3 linked regions of the Tribolium castaneum genome follow. The protein of the gene in region 1 purifies or fractionates together with the protein of each later gene. This does not show direct contact. Links are inferred from orthologs where the notes say so. Each region holds a gene or a part of one and is shown on either strand. Other genes may lie near its edges. The genes, in order: Polr2C, Fcp1 and GPN-loop GTPase 1.

Evidence for each region.
Region 2: the proteins of Polr2C (region 1) and Fcp1 purify together in Homo sapiens (affinity purification with mass spectrometry; 3 studies listed by BioGRID and IntAct, with this or other methods). This does not show direct contact. The link is inferred for Tribolium castaneum from reciprocal best matches to the Homo sapiens genes POLR2C and CTDP1.
Region 3: the proteins of Polr2C (region 1) and GPN-loop GTPase 1 purify together in Homo sapiens (affinity purification with mass spectrometry; 3 studies listed by BioGRID and IntAct, with this or other methods). This does not show direct contact. The link is inferred for Tribolium castaneum from reciprocal best matches to the Homo sapiens genes POLR2C and GPN1.

The regions. Positions count from the first base shown.
Region 1 is NC_087398.1:8,331,978-8,334,843, forward strand, and holds Polr2C (DNA-directed RNA polymerase II subunit RPB3), read right to left. Parts: upstream 1,584-2,866; 5' UTR 1,528-1,583; coding exon 1,442-1,527; intron 1,397-1,441; coding exon 1,225-1,396; intron 1,177-1,224; coding exon 789-1,176; intron 742-788; coding exon 563-741; 3' UTR 531-562; downstream 1-530. Other genes in the region: uncharacterized protein LOC103314913, read right to left, coding at 1-139, 185-460; uncharacterized protein LOC103314918, read left to right, coding at 1,786-1,833, 1,898-2,125, 2,173-2,334, 2,380-2,866. UniProt on the Homo sapiens protein: Core component of RNA polymerase II (Pol II), a DNA-dependent RNA polymerase which synthesizes mRNA precursors and many functional non-coding RNAs using the four ribonucleoside triphosphates as substrates.
Region 2 is NC_087396.1:10,632,706-10,637,001, reverse strand, and holds the start of Fcp1 (RNA polymerase II subunit A C-terminal domain phosphatase), read right to left. Parts: upstream 2,912-4,296; 5' UTR 2,872-2,911; coding exon 2,654-2,871; intron 2,603-2,653; coding exon 2,449-2,602; intron 2,396-2,448; coding exon 2,025-2,395; intron 1,544-2,024; coding exon 382-1,543; intron 1-381. Other genes in the region: Rab2 (ras-related protein Rab-2), read right to left, coding at 3,515-3,613, 3,839-4,019, 4,076-4,296. UniProt on the Homo sapiens protein: Processively dephosphorylates 'Ser-2' and 'Ser-5' of the heptad repeats YSPTSPS in the C-terminal domain of the largest RNA polymerase II subunit. This promotes the activity of RNA polymerase II.
Region 3 is NC_087401.1:17,594,071-17,597,566, reverse strand, and holds GPN-loop GTPase 1, read right to left. Parts: upstream 2,348-3,496; 5' UTR 2,206-2,347; coding exon 2,043-2,205; intron 1,991-2,042; coding exon 1,396-1,990; intron 1,333-1,395; coding exon 1,142-1,332; intron 1,093-1,141; coding exon 983-1,092; 3' UTR 651-982; downstream 1-650. Other genes in the region: Sxl (sex lethal), read left to right, coding at 1-151, 216-373, 421-587; rifampicin phosphotransferase-like, read left to right, coding at 2,724-2,835, 2,886-3,001, 3,063-3,201, 3,250-3,409, 3,464-3,496. UniProt on the Homo sapiens protein: Small GTPase required for proper nuclear import of RNA polymerase II (RNAPII). May act at an RNAP assembly step prior to nuclear import.

The sequences.
Region 1 (2,866 bases):
ACTCTGAGGTGTACATGTGGGCCAGCAACAAGTTGCGCATTTCGGGGTCTGAAACGTCGTCGATACTCACAGCTGGGGACATGTAAACCCTTGGTCTTGTCTTGATTACGTTTTCTTTGGCTGCATTCTCGGGAATTACCTTAATTGTATCTTTTTATTTTGTTGACTGTATTTTTGTACATACGGGGGTTTCGAAAGGTACATGGGGGTCCGTGCCTGTGATCTCTTTGCGTCTCCAAAGTAAGTTAAACGGGATGTAGACGTCGGGGCGTCGGGCCGCAAAAGTTTCATTGTCTTTAGGGACATACTCACTCGGGGGCTTGTCTTTTTTGTCCAAAAATTTTGCTTGACAATTCAAAGTGTCTTTACGAGGCTCAAGTGGGAATTTTTTGTAGTCATTCTGATAAGTGGTTTTGCTTCTAAAGATGTCCAACTTAATTCTGTCGTCGTGCTCGTTCATTTTTTCAACAGAAAGAAGGAACTGACTGTTTCAGTAATTGTAAAAAGTGACAGTTCAAACAAAACACTAATTTAAAAATTATCGGCTTTATTAACGTTATAATTAAATAGCAAGGGCATCGTTCTGTACTTCATGATTAAGCTGAGTCTGCAAATTGGACAATTTATCCTTCAGCATTGCCACCCCCATTATGACGATATTTTCGGGTTTTAGGGCTCCTGCAGCTTCCACATTGAAATAAAACTTGTTTGGTTTCAATTCCCAGTTAAAATCAGCCTCGTCTGGAACATTATGGTCAAACAAAACAACTAACAAGTAAAATATTTACATTGATCCTCATCCAGTTCGCTGTATTCGCTCTTGGGCCATTCGTCTGGCTTAGGAAAAAGCGTGTGTCTCATAGCATTATCGGGGTCGTACTCGAAGGCCACCCCCGCCGTGGGGTTCCACTTGGCGTGTTCCTTACCGAACCCCTTTTTAGCGTAAGCTTTAACCTTCAACTCTTGCCCTTTCCGCAACTTGATGATCAGAATTTCGTCAGTGTCGCCATACTCTGACGATTCATCGTCCCTGTGTTTGGAAGTGGCCGGAATAACTCTAGGATCGCTCGATTTTAAATCTGCGGTGGTAACGTGCCGCGTGTGGTCGTCAGTGCATTTCACATCAAGGGTGAATTCAACACTGCATTCATGACAAAAATCGGTGCAAATGCAGTCCTGGAAATTGCATTTTAGATGTGAAATAGATCAAATTAAACGACTAACTCTTGGGTATTGGAGACGTTGCACCACGTCGTCTGATATGAGGGGGATCAAGCCTATTCTGTGGGCCAAAAATTCGTCACTTAGGACGGTTGAGTTCGCCTCCAACTTGACCCAATCGATGGCCAAAGTTGGCGTTTCGGCGATTAGGACGCGCCTGATGCTGTTAGCCACGCTAAAAATTGGCCAGTTAGTGCCCCCTTAAAGAATTGTTGCTCACCTCAGATCGGTGTCTTCAATGTAGAATTTCACATTATCGTCGGTTAAATCGGTTATGTGGACCGAGGGCTGGTTTGCGTACGGCATATTAGAAAATTTCAATTACGAAAAGACAGGATTTGAACTTTTTTTAACACAAACACCGACAACAACACGACAGAACCTCAAAACTTATTATAAAAGGCAACTTACAGCACTGTCTTGTGTAACTGGTTGCCTGTGCCTATCAAAACTGTCAATTTTTGTGGTGTCAAGGATTTGTCAACCTCTGCAAATTTTTATTTAAAAATAAAAAACGCGAAAACAGTTTAAATATCGTGAGAAATTAACAAGTGTCCAATAATAATGACCGATAACATTCCCACAACGCCATATGTAGTTCAAATTAGTGAGGTAAGTGCTAATTGTTATTTATAAATTAGTAAGATTAAAGTATTATATTGCAACGTTATTCTAGCCCCTCGAAACCATACACTTGGCAGAACAAGTTGATAGTCAACTACAGATTGCCCAAACCGTGAGTAATCCTCACATCTTAGTTGAATCCATGGATAAGCCTCTTGAAATCATTGAAGAACCTTGCACGAGTGTTCCCCAAGAAGAACCACTGGGTTTCCAAATTATGTACCCCGAGGAACAACCATGTGTCGTCAAAATTGTGTACCCCCAAGAACTGAGTTTGATTGTGAGAACCACTTATCTCTTATTCCTTGAATTTATTTTTTTAATTAGCGAGCTCCAAATCTTGTAAAACGTGGACGCCCTAAAAAGAAGAAGCACGAAGCGCCACAAACTGATGCAAATACCGAATCAAAAACGGACAATGTCGAGGCTTCTAAAGCTTCCAGGACTCGTTCTGGTCGTCTAGTCAAGCTCCCAAAACACATAGAAAAGGTAAATTTTCAAGTGTTTTAGAAGTTAATCAGTGATGTTTCACAGGATTTCAAAAAATTTCAACCCAGTGTTAATGATCGCGAAGTACAAGTCACGGATTTTGAGAGAGTTGAGGAGAAGGAGAACAGTAAAATAGAATTTGCTCAATTACAGACCAGAAAGCGGGTGGTGAAAGCCCAGTTCAAGTGCCCCAAATGCTTCAAGGCTTATTTGGGCAAAAACAAAATGATTCAACATTTGAAAAAAAATCCCGACCATGGGCCTCTACCCGAGGGTTACCAGCAGTACAATTTCGATGTTTGGAATTATTTGTTTGACATCACCCAAAAATGCAAGGCTGGGCAAAGGGGCGTCAAGTTTTGCGAAGAATTGAGCAATTTGCTACATAACGTGCAGTTGCTAAAAAGCGCACTGTTTAAGACTGTCACAGATAACAAGAATTGTGTTCAAATTGATAAAGTTTTAGGCAATGCCATTGGCCTGGCGCCTGGGAAATATAAATTTGATGAGAATGAGTTGTATAAGGATGTCA
Region 2 (4,296 bases), on another chromosome or scaffold:
AGAATTTGCATCAACCAACCATTTTTTAATTACAATTTTGAACAAATATTCATAATTACATTGCCCCCAACCGCAAAAGGCAAGAGTACCAAAAAAAAAAAACGTTTGTAATTATAAAACAAAATGTCAAACTGAATAAAACTAATTGCCGACTTTCGACCAGTTTGTCAGATAAAGAAGATCCTAACTGAAGTTGGTTGAAAACAAATTCGTCGCCCTACATTATTTTTAATTGACGATTTTTTATTAAATAAAAGTCTTGGTTGCTGCAAATTTAATTAAGATTTTATGGACAACGCTTTTTTTCTATAGCTGGTACCCTAGTGTCCGGTTTAGGAACACAATAAACGTATTCCCCTTTCACCTAATTTTTAACCTTACCTCCTTATCCATATCCGCTATATCTGCGCTGGAAAACGACATGAGAGGATTAATCGTGTCCATAAACCTTCCACTGGGTGTCCTTTTTCGCATAGCGGGCGTATTGTGCTCTGGATAACTTATAATATGCTCTGGACTGCTGCAATGAGGCGGTGGATGCCGGTTTTTTGAGCCTTTGCTATTCAAAGCAAAAATCTTCTCGTCTACGTGCTCCCACCGTTCTGCACAACACCACAGCCAATCGGGTGTAACAATCTTCAAGTTCTTCTTTCTTCTGCCGGCGTTCACCTTAGCAGTGCCTGGCCTAACAGCCACCAAATGTGTCGTGTCGTCCTCCAGCTCTTGCGTAACTTCAGCACCCAAACTCTTGGCGATTTGGTACGCTTTTGATTGTTCTAATTTGATGTGAGTTGGCACCAACCCGCTAAAAACCAGCTTGTAGCCCTGTAGCACCTGACTTCGCACCCCGGGAATCACCTTCTTCAAGTCGGGAACCTCTCCCGATTCCATTTTATCATAAGCGTCATAGAAAGCTTGATGAATACGTTTTAGTATATCTTCTAGATAGGAGAGATAGTCATCGGGGTCTTCAACTTCTACTAAATGATTGTTTATTTCGATTGCGTTTTTTGTTTCCGGAGGGGTTTCAGTTTTGGTGTCCCCTTCCGTTTGCGTTTTACTTTCTTCAGGTGGAGGCTTTTCGTCATTAGTTACTGCTTCACCATTCACACCTTTAGATTCAACATTTTCAATTTTTTGTTCGCTACTGTCGTCACCGTTTTTATTTTCATCTACTTTATTATTTCCTTCACTATCTTCGGTATTTTCTTTACTCTCGTTTTTTGTACTCTCAGATTCATTTGAAACCTGATTCTCAACTTTACTTTCCTCGACATTTTCACCATTTTTCTCACTGTCATTTTCTGTCGCTTTACTATCGTTATTCTGGATTTGTTCGTCTTTTTTCTGGTCTTTAATTTTTGTTAAATCAACTCCCTTGTTATCATTTTCATGTTTGTCTAAACCAGGGGGTGCGTTTATGTCGCCGGTGTGTTGAAAAAAATGGTACGGCTTGACATGAATCAAATTTGCGGCGTTCGACCACACGTCCTCTCTGTCGTCAATAATACACACCATGTTGTCCCCGCAAGGAAATAGAGCCCTAAATATAAAAAATTATGTAACACAGCGTATCAAAAAATATAAAAAAATATTTTCGCGAACTTTTAGCACAATTGTTGTTTTAAATATCACGAAGATAGTCTAAGACTAGAAAATTAGATCGAAACTGTTACTTTAGCTTGCTTCTCTCAGTTTAACAAGTTGGTTTTAAATTTTTAATCCGATATATTTATTTATTGTGCAAGTTCGTCTTAAAGTACCTTCGATTTGAGAGTAATTAAGGCAAAAATTACTTTTAATTTTGCTTTCTTGTCCGAATTTATCAAGTTTTTCATCCTGGTCTCATTTTTGCCTTTTTTTTTTCGAAAGCTAGACCTTCTACACTCAAATATGGTAGAGTGAACATATGCAAAGTGATTCAAAAACACTTGAAGAGAAAAACTATTTACTTATGATTTTGAAAGACTCAAAAAACAGGAATAACGGAATGATTTTTCAGATTTTTCTTTTCAAATACGTACTTTAAGTTCGCCTTTTTGCTAGTTGGGTCAAAACACTCATCCCGCGAGAGAATACGATTTGAGAAAAACTTCTGGTCCCTGTCCAGAACCGCAGCAATCATATGTGCGTAATTCCTTGCGCCAAAGGTGCAAATATGCAGCTCGTAAAACGGGTAAATATTGTTCAAAAACTGATGGGTTCCGGGCCTCAACCTTGTGAAGTACCAAGGTGAATTGGGCCCGTATAACTGAAAGCGATAGATATCCTTGATGTTCGGCTGAATGTGGTCATTGGTTGTGTGGATCAAGGTCTGATCCAAGTCCACAAGCAGGACAAGTTTCCTGTCTCTAATAAGCCGATCAACGTCCGCTTTGCCGAGTTTCTGTGCAAGCTGCAACAATGCAAGTCAAACCCCCGCAGCGGCATTTTATATAACGCAACCACCTCTTCGCTGACTTTCAAGTCAGGTATGGCATGCACCATGGGCACGGAAGCCGCCACACTGACGTCGTTTTTCCTCAAATCCGTGCCGCATTCTGCGCACATGTCGTTCATCACCGTCGGATGCGTGCATTCTTTCAATTCGCACAAAGTCTCGCTGAAAATTCGAGCGTGAGCTTTCGCGCGCCTTTTCAAAACTGTTGCTTACCCTGGCTTGACAATGGCGCCTTCCTGCGCCACAATCTTAAAAATTGTTCCGGCCTGTGTTACCTTCAACTTGCGTTGTTCCACCTTGGAAGCCCCGTCAAAATCATACAGAAGGATTACTCTTCCGATCGAGACAGTGTTCCCTTCGCTCACTTTCCATTTTAAAATTTTTATAGGTTTTGTTTGTTGCTGTGATATGCACATAGTTTTTTCCGCCATCTTGCACGGAAACGACTTCACTCATGAACGCAGAACGCGGCCTGATTGGACGACGCGTGCACTTCCGGGTGCCATTACTCACGCGCCCGTTTCAAATTTTGGGTAAAACAAACACAAACTGGCAATACAACTTATATTTGATTATATTACATGAAGCTTACATAAAAAATTTGACGTTTTACAATACAAATTTATTTAATGAGATAAACACTACATTTCTTAATTAAGTATAATAGTCGCAATAAAACACATAACACTATTATCACCAATAACAAAAATAAAGTTGGTTTAAAGTAAGATGTAATGCTTCTGAAACGGCTTTTCGGTTGGTACTCTATAAAATATGAACTCAAAACAATAAATATGTGACCTGTATTGGACTAACTATACCACACTCTTAAAATAATCACAATAATAATCCTTTCATTACATAAATTAGTGGGGGCCAATATCACCATATGTATCAAAATATTTGAAAAGTTTTGTCTCTAAAGGTTGTTGAACGATGGGGTAAAGTGCAACTTGCTAATTTGGAAGATATCAGATCATTAATTTATGTAATAAACCTGTGCAGTCACTTTCAATTCTTTAATAAGGGTTTCTCTCTTACACATAATGTAACCCTCAAGACAGACAAGTCATCTTAACAGCAACTCGAACCCTGCGAACCCCCGGCGCCGCCTGCACCAGGAAGCGATGGATTTGTGGGGGAATGTTGGGGGCCAATCTTGATTCCATTTGCCTGCACAATTTCAACAACAAAATTTAAAACACAATAGTTGTGAATTTGAGTTGGCAGCACTATACGTGTGACGTCTCAAGCTGCCAACTTAATTTCAAAGTCAGAAGAAAGTATCACCAAAAATGGGGTAATGAACTTGCTAATGTATAAAATTATTGATTTCTAAAGTTTGTGTAACCTTTAGAAAATGCCAATTAGCTTAACAGAGCAGAACCGCTGATTTACCTCATTGTTAATGTCAAAGACTCCCTCTTGTATTTTCTCATAGATCTCTTTTGCTGTGTTTATAAACGCTTCTTCAACGTTGGCGGCCGTTTTTGCTGAAGTTTCCATAAAGACTAGTCCGTGTTCTCTGGCAAAAGCTTCTCCTTCTTCCTTTTTCACTTCTCTCCTACTCTCTAGATCACTGGAAGGGTTTAGTTAACACTTTTGAAAAAAAAAAAAATAAAACGGGATGAACACCTTTTGTTTCCAATCAACATGATGACCATATTTGAGTTGGAATGCTGGCGGGCATCATCAAGCCATGTAGTCAAATGGTTGAAAGTCTCCCTCCTCGTAATGTCATAAACTAAAAGAGCGCCAGCAGCCCCCCGATAGTACGACCGCGTTATAGATCTAAAAGCCTCCTGTCCGGCAGTGTCCCAAATTTGTAATTTGATTTGTTTGCCATCAATGGTGAT
Region 3 (3,496 bases), on another chromosome or scaffold:
TGAAAGCATCCAATTTATACATCACTAACTTACCCAAAGACGTGACTGAGGACGATGTTCACAGACTCTTTTCAAACTATGGAGAAATCATCCAAAAGTCCGTTTTAAAGGACAAAATTACCGGAATGCCACGTGGAGTTGCCTTTGTCCGGTATAATAATGATGATAATAATAATTATTAAAACTTTGTAAATAATAATTTGTTTTTCGTTTAGTTTTTCGCGAGGAGAAGAGGCCAAAGCTGCCATAGCCGACCTTGATGGCAAACTGCTTGAAAACGCAATGCTTCCGTTGAGTGTTCGCGTAGCAGAAGATCACGGCCGTCAAAAAGCTCAATATTTGGAAAATTGGAGTTTTTCAATGCACAACAGGGGTAAGAAACGGAGGTTTTGACTTAATTTTGGCATTTCGGGTGTTTAGGTTTTGTACCACCGTTTCGAGGAGGGACAATGAATCCCTTCAGGAAAATGCCACCACAGCCGCCTGATAATTTACAAAACCGTAATCGCTTCCAAAATTATAATTCGAATAATGTGAGAAATATGGGAGCAGGCGATAATTATCTACAAAATTCGTTTTTTTGTTAATTGCTTCATTTTTTCTTTTTTGTTTCTGACTGAGAATGGTTTTTGTGTTAATTGAAGAGTTGATTTTATTTTACAAAGTTTCTATATTTATTTTTATATTGATAGAAAAGCGTGCCAACTAATTGTATGTTGAACGCTAAATACAATAGACATTTATTTATTTATTATTATATATATTTATATAAAATAGGAAAAAATATGTACGCAATTGATGTGCCTAAGAAAAAACTTAACACCAGCTATGGTTTTTTTTTTCTTTTTGACACACAAAATGTGTTAATTTTTTTCTTAACCAACGATCTGAATAATTTATTGTAATTTATTTCTAGTTTCAAGTGAATAAAATTTTAATTGTTGTTTTCTATATTTTTTCCTTTTATTTAATAAATTACCTACTAGGTTTGGTGTTTCTTCATCTCTGCTTCTTTTGCCCTTTTCACTTGCATTTCTCTTTGTTGTTGTAGCACTTTTTTAAACACATCGTCTTCTTTTTCATTATCAACATCTAATAAAAGAATCAAATCAAATAATAAATTAATCAAACAAGTCCCTACTTTGTTGATATGGAGCCGCCTGTTCTTCACCCTCAGAGTCTTCACTACTGTCATTACCTGGATGTCTTAGAAAAACATCAGACAATTCGGCCCCAGCCGACAACGTAAAACATTGTTCATTATTTTTCGATTTTTCCAATTTTTGTGCTTCTGATTGTTGTTTTATTTTCAACCATTCGCTTCTATATTCACTAAAATAGATATAAATAAATAAATATTCCAGTAACTACAAAATATAGAAATAAAGTTATTACGTTTCGTATAAAATCCTAGCTTCGTCTATTAGTTTATATAAATCTTCAAGTCCTTGTCCTGTGGCAGCGCTTACTCCACAAACTTTTAAATTTCGGTAAAACTCATCCAATGTTAAAGCCATAGACCTCGTCAAATTGCTGATGTAGCTTTCGTCGTCAGCAGCTTCAAGTGCTTGTTGAAACGACTCAAAATCGGTCATCCAATCAACAGCATATGAATGATCAACGATATCAACTTTATTCATAACAACAATGAAAGGAAGACGCGTTTTATACAAAATCGAGCAAGCGTAAAGCATGTTTGACATAAACGTAACAGGAGAAGTACTTCGCACACAATCAACAACGTATAAAATGATTGTTGGTAAAGTTGAAGCCAAAGTTTCGGTAATAATCGAACCCGAAACCGACCAAGTAAACACCTCAATTTGACCAGGAGTATCCAAAATGCACAAATCATGATTCGACTTTTCAATAAAACCAATCACTTCAGAGAATTTCGTTGAAAATAAGTTCAAACTTGTGACGATAGCACCATTAGGGCCTAATTTGTACTGCTTCATAACCTCCTTGTAATTTACCGTATCTCTAATATCTGTAATTTAACATTAAATCCCAAGAAAACTTTGACGCCCGCGAATACTTGCCAATATTAGCGAAATAGGGTAAATTGAAACAAGCAGGGTCCAAATTCACAACGTACGGTTTTTTCGGAGAATTTGATAAGCGAGTAACAAGACAAGTTTTGCCAGAACCGGCCATTCCAAGCACTATTACACTCACGGGAGCTTTGCCCCCCGTTTCGGACATTTTTCATAAAATAAAGTGGAAAAAAAGTTTGGTTAGCTTCATGACATTTGACAGTTGGAACAGAAGCTGTGTATTTAGGTTCAAACAATCTTTGCAAATTTGTGCCTCAAGACAGAAAATTTTTGATTGTATATAATAACTTTTAAATCAATTCATGTAATCGCTTTTGCACTAACTGGATTTAAAAAACCCATAATTTAATTTTTACAAATTCTCCAGTGGCGTACTTTCTGGGGTTCTTTTTTTGAAAATTACATTTAAATCACAAAAATGTTCACTTCCGTTTCGGAATGATGGCATTGACCTATGATACTAATACTTTCATGTAATAATAAGCAATGCAATTATCTGTTTGGCCTTGATTTATGTTTACATCACTGATCTGTAAATGTGTCTCTATCCAACTCCAATCCAAAGTGCTCACGCAGATAAGTTAAAATTTCAAGTTTAGATAATAATTATTATTATCTCAAACACCTGTTTGAAACATTTAATCGAAATTACTTCTAGTCGTGACCATGGAGCTCTTACTCAATTTTTGTTATTACGTAACACTTTTTCTAATTCCGATCTCACTCTACGTTCTTGTATTCCAACATCGGACAAAAAATCGTTTTTACACAAACCGAGGTATTTATTTCTTTCCATAATTAATTATGTATTTACTTGATTAATTTTAGATTGGTTTTATATAATTAAATTCCTAATCGCAAAATCGGCCGTCAAAAAACATCAAAACAAATTCAAAACAAAAATTAACATAACCGAAAGTCCAATAGAAATTCGGACGGAAAATGTAAAACATTAAACTAATCTATTAGATAAGTTAGTATCAATTAATATAATTTTTTTTACAGTACTGTGATAATTATTTTATATATGGAGCAGATCAAAAAGGCAATAGTCTATCGTTACGTTTTATAATTGGGTCAGGTCTAGTAGGCGAGGTTTTTCTTTGTTTACGGCTTTCAACAGGCGCCATCTATACATTTCCTGGTAAACAATAATATTAACATATCTAACTGTAATTCTATTAATAAATAGGTGAAAAAAAGACAAAACAGTATAATCTATCAGATTGGCATTGGAAAACAAAAGACCTCCATTTGGAAATTCTGGAACCATTCAAACGTCACCGAGTGACATTTAATGGATTATTGAGCAACGCCACCAACGATATTGAACATGTCAGATTCAATTTGACGTAAAAATCAAATAAAATTAATTGGTCATATGATTTAAATCATTTTTGTTGCAGTTGGATTGCAACAAATGCTCCCCGTTTTCATCC